Canis lupus familiaris: one gene and its partners. The protein of the gene in region 2 purifies or fractionates together with the protein of the main gene of each other region. This does not show direct contact. Links are inferred from orthologs where the notes say so. Each region holds a gene or a part of one and is shown on either strand. Other genes may lie near its edges.

Region 1 (5,386 bases), on a different chromosome or scaffold from region 2:
CACCTTCTGCATGCTGAGTGTGATCTGACCCCCCTGGAAACCTGAGGAGCTCCCAGATACGTAGTAGCCAGAGTTGAGCTGTGGAGAGACAGACCGATGGGGGTGGAGGAAAGAAGCGTGGGTTCCGAGTACTCAGCCGTGGCTCCATCTGACCCAGCAACCAAACCCCACCTGCTCCAAGGCCTCCGCCAGGTGTTTATTGAGCTTCTGCTCACGCTTGCGCAGCTTCTCGATGTCCCACTGCAGATCCTCCACTGTCGTCTCCATCTCCAGCACCTTGGTCTCTGCTGATGTCACTTTATCCTGGAGCTCAGAGTACTGGAGACAATGATCGGGTCAGATACTTAGAAGAGAGGACTTGGCTCCCTGAGAGCCTTGGTGCACATCTAACCCAAACCCTGCCCTGGTTGTAATCCCACCTCCAATGAGATGCGGTGGTGCTTCTCTTGTAGCTGGGTGGCCAAGTCCTGCAGCCGCCGGTTCTCACGACCCAACTCCCGGGTACGTGCCCGAGCCACCTCACCGGGGGGCTCACTGTCCCCTGAGAAGGCAGGGCTCGGGTAAGAGCCAAGTCCAGGGCAATGGGGCAAAGTACTAACTCATTCTGGAGTCTGCTATGTGCCCAGTGTGATCCACCAGCTGTCTTGCCAATTTCTCATGACAAAGCCAGGAGTCTTTATCCCCACTGCACAAAGGAGGAAACCAGCTCAGAGAGGAGAGCCATCTGCCCAGAATGCCCAGTCTAAAATGACAGGATGAGGGCTGTCAGCCTGCAAGGCCTAGACACTTACTACTATGCCTCATGAGTGAGCAACTGCAACCAAAATCTGTGCAAAGTGCTCCAAAGAGGTCTTCGGCTGGAAGACAGTGGCCCCTTAAGCATCAACAACTCCTCCCACCCAGCTCACTAGAACTCAACCCCGTGAATCAAAAGCAGAGCCCCCTCTACAACCTACACTTTTCCCTGAGAACGTGGCTGATTCATTCCTTGGAAAATTATGGCTGCCTCTGGGCTCAGGCATTTAGGGGATACAATGAAGACACAGACAGGGATAGACACCTCTGCGGTAGGACACACAAAACTAACCTCGGCTGTATACTCGCTGACAGAGTTCCTCCACTCGGCGCTGTAGGCGGTCTGAGGCCTCTACAACACGGGACACAGCTGCCTTGGAGAACTCCATTCGGCCCTGCAGCTGCAGCTCCACCTCCTCACTACTGCTTGCGCCCAGTGCTACCACAAAAGCCAAAGCTGGCTCACTGAGGGGGGGCCGCAGCTGCACTGGTAGGGGCTCTGCAAGGAATGGACAGACCCTCGTGAGAATCTCACGAGGGGACCAGCAGCAGTTACCACCACTCCATACCACGTTCTAGACCAAGCCCTTCGCCACTCAATGCTCAATGAACCAACACAAGCAATGCCTGTAATACACTGGTATTACATAACTACGGAGGTTCAGGGAGCTAAAATAATTTTAAGGCCACAGGACTTCCAAATCTTCCTCAGAGAAGCCTTTTCTGCCTTCTCTATCTAAATTAGAACCATACACATGAGTGCATATACACGAATTCTCTTTCAAGAGTCCCTATCCTTTTTATTCATGATTTAAAATCACTTTCTCTCTTGGGTGGATCCCTGGGTGGATCCCAGGGCGTGATGCTGAAGTCCCAGGACTGAGTCCCACATCAGGCTCCCTGCATGAAGCCTGCTTCTCCCTCTGCCTGAGTCTCTGCCTTTCTCTTGCTCTCTGTTTCTTTCATTAATAAATAAATAAAATCTTAAAAAACAAAAAACAAAAAACTTCCTCCCTGATGGCAGAGGCAAGATTTCTTATCTTTGTCTCTTCTGAAGCTGTTAACAGTACTACCTATGTAGATAACACAAGATACTGACAGTTTTTTGAACTAAATGAGTGTCAAATACGACATGCAATACGAACCAAGTCACTCAGATTTCAAAGCCTGGGGCCTTACCTAACACTGCACTTGCTGTCCAAACATCATGAAATCGTTGTGTGTGTGTGTGTGTGTGTGTGTGTGTGTGTGTGAAGGGTGGTGGGGAATTCAGTAGAGTAATATGAAAGTTCCCTCCACTCCAGGACCTTTCCCAGAACTTAATTAAGCTGCCCAGATCCTAGGGCTCTGGCCCTACCCCTCAGTTCCGATGTCCCTGGTTCTGTGAGAGGGGTCTCATCACGTGCTGGCCCCTCCTGGGTCCCAGGCGCATCTGTCCCTGAAGACAGCTCCCCCTGGCTCTCATGGTGTCGAAGAAGGGCTTCCACAGTTTCATCCAGCTGAAGGGAGAAAGCACCAAAAACGTTATGAATCTCTCAGGTGCTTCCCAGCATGATACTCCTTTCCCAGCAGAGTAGTCTGAGGATTGGCAGCTGGATCGAGGCCAGGTCTTGGAAAGCAGAGGGGCATCCACCTGGGCCCAGTAGCGATTGACAATGAGCAGTGTGGCATCATCTGTGGCCTGCCGCTTCTCCAGCTTCTCAATTCGTTCTCGGAGTTCATCTTCACAAGCCTGTCGCTGTTCCAATCGCTCTGCTAGTTTCTTGTTCTTGAACTGCAGAACCTTCAGGTCCATCTCCTCCTACCAAGAAAAACAAAGGGGCAGAGGAGAGGGTCAAATAGAGCCCAAGAAACCAGTCACAGAGAGAGGCAAAAGAGAGCAACTGGAATGGACACAGCAATGGTATCCCCAGACTAACCACTAACAGAATTTAAAGAGGTTCTGACACCCCCAGAGAAAGCATCTTGATTGTGAGGAGGGTCAAGTCCTGCTTTTGCCTCTAGCTCTCAAGTCTTTGACAACTCACACTCCCTTTGGGAACCTGTTTCCCTATCTGTAAAAGGAAGGCAGACGTCGTGTTCTCGGTTTCCTTCAACAGAGGATTCTGTAAAGTGGCTCCTGCTAAGCTTGGGGAGCTAGGATGTAAGGTTCTGGACGATCTGGGCGGAAACCAGAGATGGGGAGGCTGGCAAGTTGTGAGGACTGAGGCAGGAGCCCACGAACCGTAGAAGAGATGCCCCCAAGACGAATAGGCTCTATAAGCGTGGTCGTGGTCTTCTCCTCGCGGCTCAGCTTCTTCTCTGGGGGCCCTGAGCCCCCGTCGCCGGCGGCGCGTTTGTTGCCGGGTCCAGACATGGCCGCGGCGGCGAGGAGCGGCGCAGGGTCTCCCGAGGGACGTCAAGCAAGCGTAGGCAGCACTTCCGTCACCTGCAGAAGACAGAGAGCAGAGATGTGGAGGCGGCCACTGCTCCGCAGCTCCAAGCCTTCCCCGCACACACCTGATGGATCCCTCCCCCGCCAGCCCCGGGCCCCTCACCCGCAGCAGGCTCAGCCTAGCGCCATCTTGGACTTCACCGGACGTCACCGGCCTCCTCAGCCAAGAGCGCAAGCGCCGCAGGCAATGCCGGATGTGGCGAAACTTCATTTCCTGTTTCTATTGGTCGCGCTTTGTCCCGCCTCTCGGGTCTCCTTTGGTTTCTTCCTGAACACCTCCTCTCTCTCCCAGTGATTGGCCAGTAGACAGTTCCCGTGGCAACTGACACCACACTCACAACCCCTAGCTCTAAGGGCATCACCGGCATCCTGTTAGCCGCTTTGAAGCCAGGGCACCCAGACGGCGCCTGAAACTTATTGCGCATGTGCATTTCCTTCTCACTGATTGGCGAGCGTCCTACCCTTGCTCCCTCCCACCACGAGCTCCCTTAGCAACGGTCGCCGTTGAGACGGAGGGAGACGCCCCCTGCGGATTGGTTACACCGGCCTCTCTGCGGCGTAGATTGGCTGAGGCGTCGCTGGAGGGAGGGCTTGGCAGTCAGTCCCGGCCCCAGAACCGGCTTTCCCAGGACCCGGGCGGGACACAGCCTGTGGTGACCCGTGACGAGGAAGAGCGACGAGATGATCCGCCAGAAGTCTAGCCAATTCATGGGGCTGAAGATGCAGTCGGAGTTTGAACAGCCCTCCGAACTGCAGCGGGAACTCGAGAAGGACCTCAGCTCTATGGAGGAGTCCGTCACGCGGATAGCAACAGGTGTGCGGACCGAGTCCGGGACCGCGGCCGGCACCGCGGCCTCGGTAGCAGCGGATGAAGATCCTGCAGCCAACTTGTTCCCGGTGAGGGCGGGACAGAGTGGTCCGCTCATGTTTGTAGAAGGGCTTCCCGGCAGGGTGCCACCGTCCTTATGCTTTTTTTTTTTTTTTTAAGATTTTATTTATTTATTCATGATAGTCACACAGAGAGAGACAGAGAGGCAGAGACACAGGCAGAGGGAGAAGCAGGCTCCACGCAGGGAGCCCGACGCGGGATTCGATCCTGGGTCTCCAGGATTGTGCCCTGGGCCAAAGGCAGGCGCCAAACCGCTGCGCCACCCAGGGATCCCCCGTCCTTATGCTTATTAACGTTCAAGACGTTTCCTGGGTGCCTTGGTGAAGAGGCAGGGGTGTGTGACTCCGATTGTTAAATGCTCATGAATAGTAGTACTTACGGCCTTTTGAAGCCCGGCCTGCCAGCGTTGCTCATACATAACCTTTAACATGAGAAGGCAAGTTAGCAGGTTCTCAGGCCCGCTGGAGATTCCCGAAGGGTCAGGGACTGGGGCCATGGACAGCACGGCTCCGCCTGCCCAATCCGCTTTCTCTCCGCAGCCGCCGTTGCCCCAGCCCCGGATCTGCATGTGGTGAGTGTGAAGTCTTGGGGAAAAGTTACACTTTACACTTGGCATTACTCCTCCCCAACAGTCCTGTCAAACAGCTAGGGCATTCCCCATTGTACAGATGAGGAAACTGCAATTATCCAAGTTAAGTAGAGCCTTCCTGCCTCCCCAGGCCAAAGAAGGAGGGTGGGTGGGAAGGATAGAGCCAAAGACTAAGGATGTAAATGGAATATGGACTGCTATGGAGCACTGTATAAATGAAGACACTGAAGCCACATGGGGCGTGGAAGAGTCAAGAATTCAAGTTTCCTAATCCTCAGCTTTCTAAATGAAGAGGATTGTAAGAATTCGTTTAAGCCATATCCCTTATTTATTTATTTATTTTATATCCCTTATTTAAAGATGAAGAAAGTTATACCCAGAGAGGGTAGTGGAAGGGCTAATCTTCAAACTCAGGTCTCCTGGTTCCCAGTCCAGTGTTTTAGCCATCCTAGCCCTGTCATGAGACTAATGCCTGACGGCCACCAACACCTTTTCTCCTCTTTTCTTATTACAGGAAGTATTTGGACATCCACTCCATGCACAGGCTGGAGAAGACAGCCAACACTGAGGAGATGAGGGAGTATGGGGGGACACAGGGGCGAGCAGAGGAACTGGCTCCTGGGGGAGTCTAAGGGGGCTAGGCTGAGAAGGCATGAATGCCTGCCTCCAGAGCACATGG
Region 2 (5,360 bases):
TTACTGGATATTGTCTTTTGAAATTATGTGTAAACAGTCTGTTGATACCTGACTTTTCTTTCACATTTCTTTTCGGTTTTATCAAAAAAATACTTAGTACTGCAAATACTAAGAAAATTATATATAAACACAAACATTCCTGAGATTTATCCTCTTTAGACACACCAACTAAATGAGAGCTTTGTAATTATTTTAGTGATCCAGAAATATTATTGAATTTTAATAGTCTTTAGTATTTCCAAATCCTTTGTACAAAACTTCACCATATTTTCTCCTTGTTCTTTACTCAGGTCAGCATTTCGTTTCTGGGTTACAGATTAGCTATTTATTATTTAGAGGGGATCCCTGGGTGACTCAGCAGTTTAGCCCCTGCCTTCAGCTCAGGGCGTGACCCCGGGGTCCTGGGATTGGGTCCCGCATCAGGCTCCCCGCAGGGAGCCTGCTTCTCCCTCTGCCTGTGTCTCTGCTCTCTTACCCTGTGTCTCTCATGAATAAATAAATAAAATATTTAAAATATATGTATATTTAGATATGTAATTATATTTATGTATGTGTAATTACCATATCTGCCAATGACTGCAAAAGTGCTACAAGTTGATTTTAGCAGTTCATGAATTCACAAAATTGAAATCCATGAATGATGAGAATCAATTTTTTTATTTTTTTATTTTTTTTAAGATTTTATTTATTCTCTGTGAGAGAGAGAGAGAGAGAGAGAGAGGGGCAGAGACCCGGACAGAGGGGAAGCAGGCTCCATGCAGGGAGCCCGATGTGGGACTCAATCCCGGGTCTCCAGGATCATGCCCTGGGCTGAAAGCAGGCGCTAAACCACTGAGCCACTCAGGGATTCCCGAGAATCAATTTTTTTTTAAATCAGTCTTGTCCCTATAACTGATTTTATACTTTTGCTTTTCTTACAGACCCAAGTAGGACGTTTTGCACCTCAGTTTTCTGGATACCAGCAGCAAGACTGTCAAGAGCTTTTAGCTTTCCTATTAGATGGATTACATGAAGATTTGAATAGAATTAGGAAAAAACCGTATATACAATTAAAAGATGCAGATGGAAGGCCAGATAAGGTAAATTTAATGTCATTATTGTCACCACTTTTATAATAATGTGATATCTTTGTGTAATATGTGTCTGGTTTTCTTACAGATAGTTGCTGAAGAAGCCTGGGAAAACCATTTAAAAAGAAATGATTCTATCATAGTAGATATATTTCACGGCCTTTTCAAATCAACTTTAGTTTGTCCTGAATGTGCTAAGATTTCAGTAACATTTGATCCTTTTTGTTACTTGACACTTCCATTGCCCATGAAAAAAGAACGTACCTTGGAAGTATATTTAGTCAGAATGGATCCACTTACCAAACCTATGCAGGTAAGTCATGATTATTTTCTTTGCATTTGTTACTTTTATAAAAACTTAGTGTTGAGACCTTGTACTTCAAGCACAATTCAATAATAAGTTTATTTATATAAGAGATTTTACAAGCTAAATACTTTGGGAATTAGTACAACTTTTTAGAATCTTGAAATGGCGAGGGATTTATAAATTATCATTATTTATAAAAACAAAATTCTCAGTCTTTTTCTTATGAAAGAAAAATGAGAGGTTGTTCAATTTTGCAGTGGTAAGATAAATATGAGCCTAACAAAGATTTTTCCTATTGTCCAACTTGAACTTTAATGTTAATTGTAAGTTTTTTTCTAGTGGGCTGTTGGAAGTAAAACTAATACCATACATTTTGATTCATGATTTGATAGTGGTATATTTAAATACCTGTAATTTTTAAGCATCTTAAGAACTCAAAAGAGAAATAGAAATTTAATTCAGCTATAAATATTCGCTTCAATAATGTTCTAAGCAAAGCACTATATTTTCTTCCTTCACTAATCAGTTAATCATTTCCTGACGCTTGAACCACCCTAACAAAAGTAGTTCCTTACTCTTCTACTTTGAGTGCCCCTGAAATGTTGTTATCACATTTATCAAATTTTATTATGACCCCTGGTTTACTTATCTTTTCTCTGTTAGTGAGTTCTTTGAAGATAGGAACTTTGTAAATCATTGTATTTCCAACCCCCTTGACTTGTAGTACTACTAAAGCAGAAGTATTCAAAAATTATATTCATTCAAATATGTGTAGGGCACCCAATGAGAATGTAAAGCTCTGTTTGGCAGACAGAGCAGACATGGTTCCTGCTTTAGAGGACTGTTGACTAAAGATCTTTAGCTCAGAGTTCTAGTCAGATAGTGCAGTTTCTTAGAGCATAGTTGTATTAGTCTGCTCAGGCTGCTCTAATGAAATGCCATATAAACTGAGTGGATTTAAACAACAGAAATTTATCTTCTGATAATTCTGGAGGCTGGAAGTCTAAAATCAAGAGTACTAGCATGGTTGGTATCTAGTACAGACTCTTTTCCTGGTTTACAGGCAACCCTATCCTCAGTGTGTTGAGAGAGAATACCTGTAGCACACAAGCTCTCTAGCATCTCCTTATAAGGACACTAATCTCATCATGGAGGTTCACCTTTTTGATCTCATGTAAAGCTCCCAAAAGCCCCATCTCCAAATATTATTACATTGGTGGTTAGGGCTTCAACACATAAATTTTAAGTGGACACAATTCAACCAATAGCAATATCATGAGATCTGTATGAAAGGTCTGCTTTTGAACAAAGTTATGATCTTACCATTAATTTGGTGGAAGTGTTTGGGTTTACTGTCCACAAGAACATTATAAATGAAGTGTTCCTAGTACAAGTATAGTCCTTTCATTCAAACTAATTAAAGTCTAGTGAAGACTAGTCGTGCCCTCAGTAATGTAAATTTCCCCTATTTCTTTTGCTCCTTCTTTATGTTTCCTTTACAAACTCACTGATCCTGATGGTCTCATATCAATATTTCATTCAGTAGTACTCAGAATATTGAGTAGGGCCTAGGAGGGCCTGCTTTTATTTTTTGCCAGGGGAATATATGCTCACATTCTCTAAAGTACATTTGTTGAAGACAGTGCTCTCCTATGCCAATAATACAAAAGTAAGCTATATTACATAGGGACAGGTCACATTCAAATTTCACATTAGCTGTAGGCGTGTATTGAATGTTCTCCCATAATTTGGGTTTTAAATTATTTTTCCAGCAATATGAATTTCATTAGTATAACTCTTTTCTCACTTGGTGGCCAAAAATACAGATTTGTGGAGATCGGAGCCATGGTTAGCATAAAGGAATCGGGCATTTTTTTTCTACTTCAAAGAAGTAACAACTCAAATACAAAATGATAGGCTCGCTAACGGTATGCTTAACCAGCTAGAAAGGAAAGGGAAATTTAGCTGAGTTAACCTACTTGATGAGTTTTCCCATCAGTGAAGTTGATTTAGGTCTTAGAAGTTTATTAGTAATTGTACTAACATGTATTATGTATTGGATTCTGATTCTCTGCAAAGTGCTGGAAATACAAAGATGTTCCTGGTTCTTGTTCCTGAGAACCTTTTCATACAATGTGAAAAATGCTGTGGCAGTGCTGTAGGAATATACATACAAAAGGAATGATACACCCAAACTGCCAATGCCTGTGTTGAATCCTGAAGGATGATTAGGTTTTAAGTGTATGAAAGCTGGAAATAAAGGCATTGTAGACCAACAGAGTGGCATATACAAAGACCGAAAGGCAAAAGACGACATGGCCCACTTCTGGAAATTAGAAGTAGATAATATGGTAAGCAGAAGAACTCACAAAGCTCATAAAGAACTTTGCTGCCAAGATAGGAGATTTGGACTTCATCCTAAAAATTAGGGGAGCCATTAAAGGTTATTAAATAGAGCACTATGTGACCAGATTTTTATTAGAGAAAGAAGACCCAGGCTACTGCAAAGACTGGATTAGAAGAACTTAGGTCGGATATACTAAGACCATGTAAGAGAGTTTTGCAGTGATCACATGACAAATGAAAATGACTAGAACTCTTAAGATTAGTATCAGGGTGACAGAAGAATCAGTTGAATATAAGAAGTAAAAATGTAAAAAAAAAAAAAAAAAAGTAAAAATGTTTAAGAGTATTCAAAAATGATGCCAAGTTTTTTGGGTTGCAAAACTGAGGAGACACTGGTGCTATTTGCCTTAATGGGATATATATAGGAAGCAAGGTTTAGGAAGAAGCCTGTTGTAATATTGGATATGTTGCCCTAACATGACCTAAATCTATGTTTAGTACTGGACATGTTGAGGTGCATGAGGAAAATTAGAGCTTATCAGTAAGCATTAAGTTTATCTATCTAGACTAGAAGAGAGATGTCTGGTTGAGATAGAAATTGGGCAGTGAGTTCTATGACAATGATACTGAATGTCTTAGAAGGATGAGATTCCCTAAGGCTAGGGTGACTCTGTAATGTATCATCTAAACTAGAACTCTTTTAAAAATAAAAGGGGCCATTATTAATCATTATATTACCAGGACAGCAGGTTCATCCAGGGCTGAGACAAAGCAAATTAGAATATATTGTCACCTGCTTTAAAGAGAGCATATAGAATCAAGAAGGGGGTGAAGGGTAAAACTCTAAAGGAGTTTGACAACCTTGGTAATAGGTTAAATAGATGAGGACAGAAAGCTAGGGGTAGATTGATAAGTGAATGGAAAGTGAAGAATTTAAGATAGTCATTATAGACATTACTTTTAACAAGGTTATATTTATAAAGCAGAGGAGAAAGGAAGATAACTAGAGGGGGATTATCAGAGGGAAGGCAATGAGAGACTGGGTTTTTGCATTTTGTTTTTTGGTTTTTGTGGGTTTTTTGAGAGACTAGTAGATTATTCCATTGCTTACGTAAGAATCAAGGTAAAATGACATAAAGGATGATTCCTGGGTTAGGTTCCCAAGGAAGTAGAACAGGATGGGAATCAGAACATAGATGCTAGTGGTAGCCTTAGATGGGAAGGGTAACATCTGATTCTCTTTCCCTGTGTAGAAAAAAGATGGAGAAAAGGACCTTTTAGAAGTTTGTTCAGGGACACAAAGTTGGATATTTTCCTATCCAGTAGCCTCTACTTTTTTTGGTATTCTGCTGATAGTGAAGGGAGAAATTGTAAAATAAGGAAGCCTAAGGAATGGTGAAGATTGTATATAGTTACTGGGAAAAATGAAAGAAGAAGCAAATAAGGGATGCACAGAATTTCTGGCTAGTGTTGAACAATCTGTTAAGATTTAAGCACTGTGGATTTGTAGCAAACCAGTCTCTAAAATTGGTCAGTTTTCTCCAGCATATCTGAACAGCTCCAAGAAAGTATAGCAAGAATAAAATTGAATAACAAAATAGTTAAACGTTTTGCAGTGGAGTATTGAAGTGATGGAT
Region 3 (5,460 bases), on a different chromosome or scaffold from region 2:
GTGGCGTAGGTGGGGCTGGAGCTCAGGCCCCGAGATAAAGACCTAAGCTGCGATCAAGAGTCAGACGCTCAGCCAGCTGAGCCACCCAGGTGCCGGAGAGCCATGTTACTTTTAACTCCGTCTGAGGTAGAAGTAGGAACTTAGGAGCCACCTGCTGCTCTGGTACCCGACCACCCAGTTAAACCTTCCTTCAGTTTTGCTGATAGCAAAGAACTGGGAACCACCTGACTCACAAAGAATTTATAACCCGTTCATTCAGGTCACTCGCTCTTTCATCAGACGCCAGTTTTTGAATTGTCCCTCTGAATTGTCCTGGGGGTTTTACATCTGGAGTCGGGGTGCCCGCGCGACTGGATTTCAGCTAAGGTCACCATCTCAGGGTTGTGGGGTCGAGCCCCGCATCGGGTCCCACACTCAACACGTCGTCCGCTTGGGCTTCTCTCTCTCTCTCTCCCTCTGCTTCCCCTCCCATCCCCACATTCCCTCTTACTCTAAAATAAAAAAGTAAATAAATACATCTTGAGTTGATGCACCTGCATGAGAATGTCACTTTATTCCGACAGATGGGAGAATGACAGTTTTGGAAGAGGATGCTCTGTCCTCAGGTGACTTCTCAAGCTGAGCCATTGTGTTAAGTAGTGCACTAGCAACGGGAGCTCTCTAAGTGAATTCCCTTAAAACTAGTCTTGGAAAGTCTTCCTGGACCCAGGAGCAGGGAACACGGGAGACGACGGCGGCGGGACACGCAGGAGTGCGGGTTGCCGTGGTGCGGGGGGGGGGGGCAGCTCGGGAACGGGCGGGATGCCGAGGGGATAGCAGGGGGGGACACCGTGGGGACAGCCAGGCAGGACAGCTTGGGAACGGGCGGGGACAGCGGGGCGAGGACAGCAGGGAGGGGACGGGGACGGGGGCGGGGACGGGGGTGGAGAGCAGGGACGGGGGGGCGGGGCGGGGGCGGGGCGGGGGCGGGGCCGGGACGCCGTGGGGACAGCGGGCGGGGCCGGCGCGGGGACGGGCGTACGGAGGGTCTGAGCGCTTCCTCGCCACTAGCTTGCGTCGGGCTCCCCACCCCCGGCAGGGGAAGTTTTTTCTAGGTGGTAAAAAATAAAACAAAAATTCGAAAGTATGCAACTCGTACGTGTTTTCTGAAACTTTTAAAAATAAAAGAAATGCGCGCATCTTGGAAAAGTTGAGATAAGTAGGTATGCACTGCGAAGCCGAGTTTCGCCCCACAGGTGGCCTCAACAGGTGCGCGGCAGGTCCTTGAGCGCCGCCCCCATCGCAGTGTCCCCCGAGCCCCGTCCACTGGCCTCCGTGACCCGCGGCCACACTCCCGCACGGGCTGCCGGTCCGCGCGCCGCGGAGCCGGGAGGGGGCCCGGCAGGTGTCCGCCCTCGGGGCCGCCCGCCGCCGGGCCGCGCATCGCGCCTGCGCCCCGCGCCTGCGCACAACCCCCCCGCCGGCGCTCCGCGGGGGGCGGGGCCGCGGGAGAGGGAGCTGCGGGGGCACGGGCCGAGGCCTGCAGTTACCCGGATGTGGTCGCCGTGCGCGCATGCTCCGTGGCCTCCCGACAAGTTGGCAGCAACAACACGGCCCTGGTCGTCGTCGCCGCTGCGCTAGCGGAGCGGCTCGGGTGGCGGGGCCCGCGTTGGCGCCCGCGCGCCGTCCTCGGGAGGCCTTGCCCGCCGGTCCTTCAGCGGCGCGGCCGCCCGGCGGCGGGAGCGGCTAGGGGAGCCGGGCGCCCCGCGACCGAGGGCCCCCCCCGCGGGGCGGCCCGGGAGCTCGAGGCGGCCGGCGGGCGGCGGCGGCGGCGGCGGCGAGGAGGGGCGGGGGCGCGGGGGGAGCGGTGGCCCGCGGACGGGCGGCGGCGGCGGCGGCGGCGGCGGCGGCGGCGGCGGCGGCGGCGGCGGCGGCGGCGGCGGCGGCGGCGGCGGCGGCGGCGGAGCCCAGGTAACGGCCCCGTGCCCTCCCCTTCCCCGGCCGGGCCCGCGCCCCCCCACCCCCGGGCTTCCCCGCCCCGGGGCGGGCTCGGGCGGCCGGTGCGTGCGTGTGCGCGTGCGCGTGCGTGTGCGCGGGGGGCGGGGCGGGGGCCGGGGGGCGGGGGGCCTCGCGCCTCGCGTCCCGGGCCCAGCGCCCCCGCGCCTCCGCGCCCCCGCGCCCGCCGCGGCTCCCCTGCCGTCGCCGTCGGTCTTTGTTGCTCCGAGGACTTGCGCCCGCCGCCCCCGCCGAGCGCGCCCGAAGTTTCCCGTCTCGGGGACACGTCGGTGCCGCCTTTGTCCTCCACTTTCCCTTCCTGCCGGGGCCGCTCCGGCGCTCGCCTCGGCCTGCGCTGGGCGCTCTCGCGGCTCGGGAGCGGGCGGGCGGCGGGGGGGAGCCCTCCCGCTGACCTGCGCGCGCCCCTCCCCCGCACCCCTCCATCCCTCCCCCCTCTCCTGATGAGCACCCGGCCGCCCCCCCAGCCTCCATCCCTCCACCTCTCCACCCCGCCCCTCCACTCCACCTCTCACCCCCCCATCCCTCCACCCCCCACCCTTCCACCCCTCCACCCCTCAATCCTTCCCCTAATCAGCTCCCGGCCGCCCCCCACCCCACCCCACCCCACCCCACCCCACCCCACTCCCAATGAAAACCCAAGGACCCAGTTTCTCCCGCTGCTGGGACTGCGAGCGCTGGGCGCGAGGCTCTAGGACGGAGGGCGGTGGCTCCATCACTTGCCCCCAAAACTGAGGTTATCATTTCTCAGGGAAGATTTTTCAAAGAAATGGGCGTGTTGGGTTAACTTGAAAGGTGGCTTTGGGGGCCTGGAGAGGTGTCCGACGGCTCTGCTGGTGGTGATGCGCAGCACCTCCCCCCCCCCCCCCCAAAGCCCTGGTGAAAGATTCTTTTTCACGAACACATTTTATTTCCGATGAATTCACTTTGGACCCAGTTCCTTGGTGCCTTTTGCGCTGTACTCTGAGGTGGGGCTGAGGGCCCTTCGGGGTCGTGGACGCGGCGCAGCGGGCTCCTGGGCATCTCCTGACCGCGAGCCAGGGTGCGGAGGAGCTGGGGTGCAGAGGCTCGGTAGGGGCCCCGACCTGCCGCAGGGAACACCCCTTTGAGTCCCTGCAGGGAGCACCCCCTTGGGTCCCTGCAGGGAGTGTCCTCTTGAGTCTCCACAGGGAGCACCCTAGTCTTCGCAGGGAGCACCCCCTTGAGTCCCCGCGAGGAGCACCTCCTTGAGTGTCCTCTTGAGTCCCCGTGGGGAGCGCCCCCTTGAGTCCCCGCAGGGAGCACCCCCTTGAGTCCCTGCAGGGAGTGTCCTCTTGAGTCTCCGTGGGGAGCACCCCCTTGAGTCCCCGCAAGGAGCACTCTAGTCTTTGCAGGGAGCACCCTAGTCTTCGCAGGGAGCACTCTAGTCTTCTCAGGGAGCGCCCCTTGAGTCTCAGCAGCAGTCTCTGTGGATCTTAAAAAAGTAGGTTGAGTAGTTTTTGTTGGAACAGACCGTGGAGTCTTAAGAGGAAATAAGGAAATCCACGCTTTGAAAAAGTAACGGGATTTAGGACGCAGCTGGGTGGGTGGGCCGCGGTGCCCGCGCCTGCCTTCCTGCACCTGCGCCGTGTTGCCCGCGAGCCTCTGAGCCTCCGAGGCGTGAGGACTTTTCCGTTAAGGACTTCTTATTTTTTCTTCTGAAAAGTTCTGATATGCCGAGTATGTGACATTTCAAGTTGTAAATGATGTGATTGACCTCTTAAAATATGACGTCCTGCTGCTGTTTCATGAGCTGTGACTTTGTTTCCCTAAACGGGTTTGTTACCAGAACCAACAGGACTCGCAGGGTTTTGGGGTCTAAAGGGGGTGATGAATTGTGTAGGTTTAAGTTGTCGGAATTAAACCTAAGAGCCTTTCTAGAGAAAATGGATAGAACCTTTCGTGGGTCTGTTAATAGAAGTGGCTTTTTCTTTGCTTTCCAGGTTTTTGGGTGAGGTTGCTTGAAGAGGCACTGCATCTTCTTAATTCTTTGATTTTCCGAGTAGGAGGGCCTGAGTGGAAGCTTCTCTGTTTAGCTGAGTGCCCGCCTTGTAAATCTCGAGCTTAGAAAAGAATTGCACGTCAGTTTGAGATTTGATGGAAATTTGGGCTGAGAAGGTGAATTTGAAATTTTTACATGGATCATTGGCCTTTTCTAATGGCTTTGCTGCTTGAAGCAATGCTGCTTACACTACGAAGCAGCAAATCTTCTAAAAACCTATGTATGTTTTATTCTGAGGCTACATTTTGGTTGAGCTGTTTATTTGTGTCTGAATTGTTTTTCTGCATTCCCCTTTAGACACCCCCCCCCCCCCATATTAAAGAGAAAAAAGCATTAAACTAATTTATGCTGCCCAGTCACACTCCAGCCCTCTGGCTTGGAAGCTGTTTTTTTCTGATTGAGCTGGTGTTATAACGTCATTAGACACTATCCTAATTGAGCTGTGAATTGCTGTGGCCTCTACTAGGGCTCTTAACCCTGCAGGATCTGTCCCGTTCATTTAAAACGCATTTTTAGTCCTGTCTAAAATTTTGCCTATTTTGTTGAGTACCTTTTTTTATGTTTAAAGTTATTTCAGTTCTATATTGTTCCCCTCTAGCTCATGCCTAACTTTTTCCCATCTTCCATCCAGTGATTTTGATAGTAAACAAGGCTTTAAACATCTTATGTTGGCCGTTTCGGTGCTCATTGTACATGTTTTGATTTCCTTTTTTTCTAGAAGATTGTGTGGTTAGGCAGAAATTTTTGTTTTGCTTAAGCGATGATGAAATGTTGACTCTGAATTGATGCTTAATCATGTGTAAAACTAACAACTAAAACAGTTCCGTTGATTTCATTATTTTCTACACTAAATGAAAGTTAAAGGACTTGGATCAGCGTAACACAGAATATAATATAACTGTTAAACTACCAAATTTTGGGCTTTTTACTCAACAGTTGATGAAGATTTGGTTGTTTTAAAAAGAAATTCAAACAGTTGATAAATATGTGTAGATATTTGAGTAACTTTCAGTATGATACTGCTTGCATCATAATATGACAAAACATATGCTTGGTAATGAGTCAGATTTAGAATTTTTGGATTTTATCCCTCATTTTAAAATGTGTAATTTTGGTGATGGGAAATGTGGCTGAATTCCAGTTTCTCAGGAACAAGGTATTTTAGGTTGTGTCACCTTGACATTATTTTCTGGTGTGATTGGCATCCAGGAAAATTTGTATTAACTATGAGAGTGGATAGAAACTAGGGTAGTGCTTACTTACATAAAACTAAGGTGGTAAGTGGTCAGAATCTTATAATTTAAGTCTTGATTATTTGCTACTGCAAATTATATCGTAGGTCAGATAGATAGCTACCAGAGACAGATTGTAAAGACTGTCTATTACGACATCTTAAAGTTGGTGATAATTGTAAATATATTTAAGTTCAAAGACACTATTTATTTACA

The links.
Region 1: the proteins of USP15 (region 2) and RNF40 purify together in Homo sapiens (affinity purification with mass spectrometry; 4 studies listed by BioGRID and IntAct, with this or other methods). This does not show direct contact. The link is inferred for Canis lupus familiaris from reciprocal best matches to the Homo sapiens genes USP15 and RNF40.
Region 3: the proteins of USP15 (region 2) and SMAD4 purify together in Homo sapiens (affinity purification with western blotting; 4 studies listed by BioGRID). This does not show direct contact. The link is inferred for Canis lupus familiaris from reciprocal best matches to the Homo sapiens genes USP15 and SMAD4.

What each region holds. Positions count from the first base shown.
Region 1 is NC_049227.1:17,573,499-17,578,884, forward strand, and holds the start of RNF40 (E3 ubiquitin-protein ligase BRE1B), read right to left. Parts: upstream 3,488-5,386; 5' UTR 3,333-3,487; intron 3,224-3,332; 5' UTR 3,152-3,223; coding exon 3,020-3,151; intron 2,597-3,019; coding exon 2,429-2,596; intron 2,295-2,428; coding exon 2,153-2,294; intron 1,295-2,152; coding exon 1,088-1,294; intron 542-1,087; coding exon 420-541; intron 319-419; coding exon 172-318; intron 79-171; coding exon 4-78; intron 1-3. Other genes in the region: CCDC189 (coiled-coil domain-containing protein 189), read left to right, coding at 3,911-4,126, 4,658-4,689, 5,222-5,287.
Region 2 is NC_049231.1:5,978,017-5,983,376, forward strand, and holds part of USP15 (ubiquitin carboxyl-terminal hydrolase 15), read left to right. Parts: intron 1-920; coding exon 921-1,079; intron 1,080-1,158; coding exon 1,159-1,383; intron 1,384-5,360. UniProt on the Homo sapiens protein: Hydrolase that removes conjugated ubiquitin from target proteins and regulates various pathways such as the TGF-beta receptor signaling, NF-kappa-B and RNF41/NRDP1-PRKN pathways.
Region 3 is NC_049222.1:24,037,586-24,043,045, reverse strand, and holds the start of SMAD4 (mothers against decapentaplegic homolog 4), read left to right. Parts: upstream 1-1,906; 5' UTR 1,907-1,950; intron 1,951-3,963; exon of another isoform or gene 3,964-4,128; intron 4,129-5,460. Other genes in the region: ELAC1 (zinc phosphodiesterase ELAC protein 1), read left to right, coding at 260-508. UniProt on the Homo sapiens protein: In muscle physiology, plays a central role in the balance between atrophy and hypertrophy. When recruited by MSTN, promotes atrophy response via phosphorylated SMAD2/4.